Neurospora crassa OR74A: one gene and its partner. The protein of the gene in region 1 interacts with the protein of each later gene in a biochemical or structural test. Links are inferred from orthologs where the notes say so. Each region holds a gene or a part of one and is shown on either strand. Other genes may lie near its edges. The genes, in order: arp-3 and NCU10777.

The links.
Region 2: the proteins of arp-3 (region 1) and NCU10777 form a complex in vitro, tested with the Saccharomyces cerevisiae proteins (2 studies listed by BioGRID). The link is inferred for Neurospora crassa OR74A from reciprocal best matches to the Saccharomyces cerevisiae genes ARP3 and AIM7.

What each region holds. Positions count from the first base shown.
Region 1 is NC_026502.1:2,534,619-2,538,825, reverse strand, and holds arp-3 (actin), read right to left. Parts: upstream 2,800-4,207; 5' UTR 2,608-2,799; coding exon 2,573-2,607; intron 2,490-2,572; coding exon 2,467-2,489; intron 2,400-2,466; coding exon 2,172-2,399; intron 2,123-2,171; coding exon 2,076-2,122; intron 2,019-2,075; coding exon 1,932-2,018; intron 1,870-1,931; coding exon 1,036-1,869; intron 980-1,035; coding exon 914-979; 3' UTR 752-913; downstream 1-751. Other genes in the region: NCU01757 (asparaginase), read left to right, coding at 3,812-4,041, 4,096-4,207. UniProt on the Saccharomyces cerevisiae protein: Functions as ATP-binding component of the Arp2/3 complex which is involved in regulation of actin polymerization and together with an activating nucleation-promoting factor (NPF) mediates the formation of branched actin networks.
Region 2 is NC_026504.1:5,112,264-5,115,616, forward strand, and holds NCU10777 (GMF family protein), read right to left. Parts: upstream 1,684-3,353; 5' UTR 1,541-1,683; coding exon 1,538-1,540; intron 1,402-1,537; coding exon 1,299-1,401; intron 1,206-1,298; coding exon 1,072-1,205; intron 954-1,071; coding exon 765-953; 3' UTR 503-764; downstream 1-502. Other genes in the region: NCU08825 (cytosolic Fe-S cluster assembling factor nbp-35), read left to right, coding at 1-477; NCU08824 (molybdopterin binding domain-containing protein), read left to right, coding at 2,251-2,343, 2,419-2,427, 2,484-2,528, 2,596-2,690, 2,755-3,065, 3,153-3,353. UniProt on the Saccharomyces cerevisiae protein: May be involved in mitochondrial organization and biogenesis.

The DNA of each region.
Region 1 (4,207 bases):
CTGAAACGGAGGCTGATGGAAATAGTATGGATCAATTATCGTTTCCAGCAAACACGAAGGAAAACAAAAGGAAAAAATAAAAGTCAACTTCCGCTCGAGCGAAGAAGCCTCAAAACAGCAAACTTAGCCGGTGCAGGTGACGAGGAGGCTTGGCTTGTAAGCCACCAAAGGACGGTCTGGAACCCCTGGTTTCAGCGACGAAGCTTCTTCCCCGCATTCTTGTCGTACTACCTACCCTACCTACCCATACCTATGGTACCGACCTCTATGAAGGCATGCAGAAAGTTGCATAACCTTTTGCTCCTTGCCCGGCGCAAAGTAAGCAATCTGATCACTGAACCCTCCAAACTGTGAATGCTCTCTGGGAACACGGTCGGTTTACTGTGAGGTGACGTCCGAGCATGTCAGGCAACATCTTTCAACATGACAATCGAGCCCAGTCCTGATTAGAATCTAATCAATGGGCTGAGAATAGGAACAACATTGAAAAAATGAAGAGAAAAATCAGCAAGTTGTGAAACTGATGCGAAGCTATCGGTTAGCTTGCCCGATGGGAGTTCGGCCAGTTCCAGAACTGTCGGGCCATATCAGGCCACCCGGCGCGAACCGGTGGTCGTGGTGCTGACACATCCTTGCTTACCGAGAGTTACAGTGAATGCCGTCAATGGCTTGGCACGCCGCCTCCGGAACCAGCCGATCGGTACCATTAAGCCCCCCTTTTAAGGGGACCGTTGCTCTGCGCAACGGATTCCTAAACATCAACACAACAACAGACACATTGGCCGTCTACGCTGACCCAACTTCACTAGCATTAAGTAGTTCCTCTTTTCTATTCATCGCCATTATATAAGCATCGGCGCCCGCTGCCTGCCAAATAAGATGCGGACTCGCTCCTGTACACAAATAACTACGCTTAAGATCCACCAGGTCCTCCGAGCAGAGCGAACCTGCGCACGATGCTGGGTCCATATTCTTGGTACTGTAAAGATCCGTCAGCAACCAGACTGCCAATGGTAAAAGGGTAAAGAAACATACCTCTGCCTTGGTGTGGCAGTACGACCGGAACTCGGGCGTCTGACCGAGCAAGCTACCACCAAACCACGGGCCGTGCCGTTGCCTTTTGTGGGTGATAACCTGGACATCAAGACCACCGCTCTTTGCTCCACCGCTGCGCACCTCGCTGGCCTTGATTCGCGTATCGACAAGCTGCTTGATATCGCGCTGTAGCCTGCGACCAAAGTCCTTGTAGAGCGTGCTGCCACCCGAAAGAACAATGTTCTTGTAGAGACCACGACGGACATCGATGGGCGAAGACTGAATGACACCATCAACAACCACGGGCAGGGGCGTAAGGAAATCGGACGAGTAAATCTCGGGGTTGAAGAAGATTTCGGGCGCCATGAAACGCTCGTAGCCAACATCAACCGTAACTTGGCGGCCACCGGGCTGGGTAATGGTGTGCTTCAGGAATCGGCTGCGATCGCGGTCGTACTTGGCAAACTCCTTGACAATATCCGGACAGACGTAGCAGTACTCCTCCTTGATCTCCTGGGCCGTCTTGAGGGACGAATCGGGCTCGCCGCGGTCACGGAGAAGCGACTGGACAAAGTAGGTGATATCGCGACCGGCAATAGGGATCGACTTGATGGACGAGCCGATAACGTAACCTTCGGCGACCGGGATAACGTGTGTCACACCATCACCCGAATCAATGACAGTACCGGTCAAGGATCTGTCCTGGACCTTGGATGATGTCCAGGAAGCCGCAAGGGCCAGAACGGCCTGGACGGCAATGTAGAGACCGGCGCAGTTGAAGGATTCGAAGAAGATCTCGGCGGTGTTTTCGCGGTTCTCGGGAGGGTTGAGAGGCTGAATCGACGTGTCAGTGCTGCAGACGTAGTACTGATGTGGCTTGGAAAGTGTAGTCTTACGGGCTCAGTGAGGAGGAAGTGGTGGTCCTCAGGCTCTACTCTCAGATACTTGAAGATGGAGTTGGACCAGAACCTTTCCATGTGATCCTAAGCTCCAGTTAGCTCTAGGCATTTGTGACATGCCATCTAGCAGCCTGAACGCACCCAGTTCTCGATCTGTCCGTGTCTGATGGGATAGTGCAACCCGTAGCCTAACACCGTCAGCACCCATTTCCGTTGAGGCGGTGTAGACCAACGTACCAGGTCCATTGGCGGCCGCTACGGCCTCGTCGCCGATAAAGTAGTCGAGGTCTTCGGTTCCGCGCTTTGCTGAGAGATGGCCACCTGGACCCGCGCCGCCGGTGAGGAAGGATGGCTTGTTGGCTACGGCGGGGCGGCCAGAGCCCGAGCCGCCGGTGCCTGCCGAGGGGCTTTTGGTCGCGATGGCCGTCGGGAATACGAACGAGGGGGAATCATTGCCGGCGAAACCTGCAGACGACGAAGAGCTTGGTCAATCGGTGGTCATTGGATATCTTGGGGTGTCGGAGTCGCGAACCTAGCTTGGAGAACCCCGTGCCGCTGGTTAGGGGATGTTAGCGATGACGGCCCCGGAGCTGTTAAGGAGCGGGCGGGGTGGAGACGGGACACTTGGATGCACGTACTTGTCCATGACAACGGCGGGGGTTGTGTTGGCCATTGTTGCGGTGGTGTGCTGCTACGCGCAGCTCGTGATGATTGCGGTTTGGTAAAGCAACGGCTGTTGTTAGTTGGTGATGGATGAAGTGACGGGGCGGGAGCGTGGATGGGTAGTGGATAGGCCAGGCGGGAAATGGAGGTTGATGTCCAAGATTGTACGTGCCTGGCCGAGCTAGCTCTCCTTACTCGTCTGGCTGACAGCGCTGCGTGGTACTGTGGAGGTACCTGTGCGGCTGTGCGCCAAGACCGCGAGGTCCCCGTATGGTACGGCGGTCCATTTAGTCAGTTGTGCATTTCCAGCGACGGGACCTACGCCATAACTGGAGATGACGGAACCAAACACCTCGCTGCCACCTGCGCGCCATCCGAGCCCCCCGAAACCTAACCGATGCCCCGGTCCCAAGCATCGGAGTTTGAAGCACACGGCCCGGGCCCGGACGATGATGGCTAGGAAAAAGTGGGGCCGATCGGTATCAAAACTGTAGCGACAAGGCCAGCCAGACAGGATGTGTCCTTCTAAGAAGGAAGGAGATACTGAATGGAAAATCACCTCCAGCCAGATTCCCTCACACCTGCCATTTCTGTCGGATTCATTTCAGCTTCATCCTCTCGAAGCAAGTCCACTTTGCGGAGAAGCTACACACACTCACAGCTTCTCACTTATCACAACGAATCATCAACCTGTCCAGTGTCCACATTCCGTTTCGTCTCTCTCTCCGTCTCTCTCTCTCTGTCGTATTCTGTATTTTGCCACCTTTGCCTTCACACATCTTCATCCCGCCCACCTACTGTATCCAAAGGGACTCTTCACCCCTCGGGCCACCCTGAGTGCATCATCTAGCTCATTGGGCATCGCTCCAATCTCAAATACCCCTCAAGACATTATCACTACCGAGCATTATTCCCATTCATTGTTTTAGCAGGTTGCTTTTACGAGGGACACCAAGTCCGACCACCCTTTTCATCTCATCCACCCGTTCCGATCTTCTCCAACTCTTCGCCCTTGCCTCGATAAGTCTTTTCGCCCATCTTTGTCCCAAGGCACAAAAGTCACCCATGACACACCAAAACTAAGGACTCTATGTGCCCTCAGAATACAGACTCGCTTGAAAGACACATGCTCGATTACCAGACAACTCGACCTCGCCAGATCACACGCTGCTTCGACTATCTCCTCGAGTCGTTCTATCACAGCTGCGCCCACGATGAGCAGCAAAAATGCCGAGCCCGGCCATGGGTCACCTGAATCAGATATGGACATGTCGGACAGCTCCTCAGAGTCAAACTGGTCTGGTGATCATGAATACGGATTGGACGGTGGTGTCGAAAGGATATGGAAGCGTACGACGAAGCCAGTTGCGGCAATCTTTGTCCACGCAGGTGCAGGGTACCATAGCATTACGAATGAAAAGGTTCACTTGGAAGCATGCAGCGAGTAAGTTGAGTCAAGAGTCATCAGGTGATCCCTTGCTGATGCGGTTGTAACTAGAGCCTCCCGTGTCGCCATGAGGTTTCTGAAAGCCGGTGCTTCTGCCCCCGAGGCTGTCGAAGCTGCTATCAGGTGTTTGGAGGACAAAGAGATTACGAATGCCGGCTTCGGA
Region 2 (3,353 bases), on another chromosome or scaffold:
GATTTGGACTTCCTGCTGGTGGATACGCCGCCCGGCACGTCGGATGAGCACTTGAGCGTGAACACGTACCTGAAAAAGAGCGGGATTGATGGCGCTGTGATGGTTACCACGCCGCAGGAAGTGTCCCTGTTGGATGTCAGGAAGGAGATTGATTTTTGCCGGAAGGCGGGGATCAAGGTGTTGGGACTGGTGGAGAATATGAGCGGGTTTGTGTGCCCCAAGTGCACGCACGAGAGCGAGATCTTTAAGGCAACGACAGGTGGCGGGAGGAAGCTTGCGGAGGAGATGGGGATTGCGTTTTTGGGGAGCGTGCCGCTTGATCCGAGGATTGGCATGGCGTGCGATTATGGCGAGAGCTTCTTTGATAGCTTCCCGGATAGCCCGGCGTGTAGGGCCTTGAAGGGGGTGGTCAAGGGGCTGGCGACGGAGATGGGATTGGATCCGGAGGTCGTGATGCCGGAGGAGGATGACGCTTGAGCGAAGTAATGGCCATAGCATGGGCGGAGTTCAGGGACTGCTTTTTGGCTTTGTAAGGCTGGGATATCACGGCGTTTATATAACGAGAAGATCATGAATGATCCAGAATCTGGCTGTACTTTGCCTTCCATTCCAAATGGCCTCCCTTTGCTTGTTCCTCGTCCCAGTTGCCAGCTCTGTGTGAAAGCTCACGCCGGGCCCTGTTGGTCGCTCTGGAGACCAACCTTTGTGCCCGTCCGTCCATCCATAATAAGGCTGTCAGCTCGGCGCCCTTTACTGCCACACGTCTAAGCAGCCCCAAGCTTGGCCGGAATCTCTTCCAGCTCCTCCGGCGACTCGATATCGATAATCTTAGTCACCTCGCTCGTGTTGCGCATCAGCTCCTTGGCACCCGCGTACAACATGCGCATTGCGCTGTTGCATGTCGAGGGCATGTAGTAGAGCATAACGTAGGGCACCGATAGTCGGCCGGAGGGCTGTTCCACGCCATTGTCAGTCGCAGTTCTCATCTGTTCCATTACACCCAGCCATTCTTCGAGAAGACCAGGTGGATATATATGTTTGACGAGCAGGGCGACGAGTAGGGCGGCTTACAAGAGTTAGGGGATAACTCAACAACACAAATCTCGGACTGTGATCGGGCAGGTCATCGCCGATTTCCTCGAGGGTCTTGTATACAACTTTGTCGTCGTCTTGCTTGATCTCTTTGGTTGTCTTATCGATCAGGTCTGTTTTGCGCGATACACCTATTAGTTTTTTCTGACCTGCTGTACCGATAGCCAGAGATAGGGTCCGGGGGGGGATAACGGGAACATACATACAGATGACGGCCTGGGGGTCGTTGGAGCGCGAAGTCCCAAGGCGGAACTTGCGCAGGTGGTCTTTGGTTTCTTGGGAGAAAGTGTAGAGTCTTGCTTCGGAGGCCTGGCATTTTCGGCATCAGCTATGGTTCTTGAGAATCTCGAGAAGCTGCTTTCTTTCAAGAGCTTAGAAGCTGGAGAGAGGAGCTGGTGGTGTGGATGGATCGGATGTTGCGATAGGTAGGAAAGCGGCGGCGCACCATTGTGAAGAGCTGTTTTCGGGTCGGTCGAACACGCAAGATTCGGACGGCAAGAAGAAGGAAGTGGTCGCGAGGGAAATCGAAGGGGAACAGGCAATGTCGCAAAGCTTTGGGATAGTAGCAAAAGAGTTGAAGCTCGAAAAGATGTCGCATTGAGCTGTCATGTACAAGACACCGCCCTCGTCCAGGCTCCCGTCCCAGGGACGCAAGTCGGCCCCGCATGGCATCACTGCCAAGTCCACAGCTCAACTGCTGAGGTATCTGCCCCGTAGCGTAAGCTGTTATCGATTCCTCACTGATGGCGGGGCTGTCCCGGCCATTAGCCCGCGGAAGCTTAACAGCTTGACCCGCTAAAACGGAGCGGGGAAGGCGCCGCCTAGCCTCCTTCCCTGGGCGGGGATCATGTTAATGGACGGCGATGGCAGGCACCAGTGCCGCGACCACGCATCGGGCAAGACAAGCCGGAGACCCGATCTCATTCCCATTGTGGTTGTGATCTTGCAGTGGACTTCCCTCTCAATCCTCTCTTCTGTTATTTCAACCTCAAAAATCTGTTTTGTCTTACAAGACAAACTTCTCCTGGACTTAAAACCTTCATGTTCTCTCGTTTATCCCAGATTGCTCGGCACTTGTTACGGCCAGCGATAACGTCATTTGTTGCCCCATCAACATCAGCTCCGCGCCGGACTTCAACAGCATTCTTCAACAGCATTATGGGTTCAACAGTCACGGCAGATGAGCGCAATGCGCGGACTATCCATACAGCAGCGTGTTTGATTATCGGTGATGAGGTTTTGGGTGGAAAGGCAGGTCCAGTCAAGACGTGCTAGTAGGGTGATAGCCGAAAATGAGACTAACAGCTGTTCTCTGTTGTTGTGTAGACCAAAGATGTGAGTCGAGAACTCGTAAATTTTTGCCCTGACGCGCCAATGCTGACTTACTACAGACTAATTCCAACTACATGGCAAAATGGTGCTTCAACCTGGGAATCGTGAGCTCCAGCCATCCACTCTAAAGTCCCGAGAAGAACCAAGCTCACTGTAGATGCCCCATATCAGAATCTCAAGAGGATTGAAGTCATCGCCGACGACGAAGATGAAATTGTCGAGGCTGTCCGCCGTATGAGTGACCGTTATGACTTTGTAGTCACCAGGTACTACCAACACCGAGTTTTCTTCGAGTGTCCAGGACACATCATTGACCTCATTGAACAATAGCGGAGGCATCGGCCCCACCCACGATGACATTACCTACCAATCGATAGCCAAAGCCTTCGGTTTGCCTCTCAAGCTGAACGAAGAGGCTTTTAAACTCATGAAGAAGCTTTCTGTTCCTCGCAAGGGCGAGCCACCGTTCAACTGGGACGAGCCCTCGCCCGTTCTCACCGCAAAGCTCCGTATGGTGGAGCTACCGACAGACGTCAACAGAGACCTGGCGAAGCAGTTCCTCTTTCCTTGCAAGGAACTTTGGGTGCCAGTTGCGGTGGTTAATGGGAATGTGCACATCTTGCCGGGCGTGCCTAGGTTGTGTATGTTTCCTTTTCCGATCCCCATGGAATATCGAAGCAGTGTCGAGGAAGATTATTGAAAGCGAACGCTAACGAAATGCTCCACAGTCGAGAAACTCCTAGACGGCCTCAAGCCTTCCATCCAACCGCGCCTAGTCGATCCCGACGGCAAGGGTATTACCAGAGTTACCATCTCCACGCCACTCCCTGAGAGCGCTATTGCCGCTTACCTCACCGAGCTGGCAGCAAGAGTTGAACCCAAGGGCGTCAAGGTTGGAAGCTACCCCCGATGGGGGGAGAAGCATAACA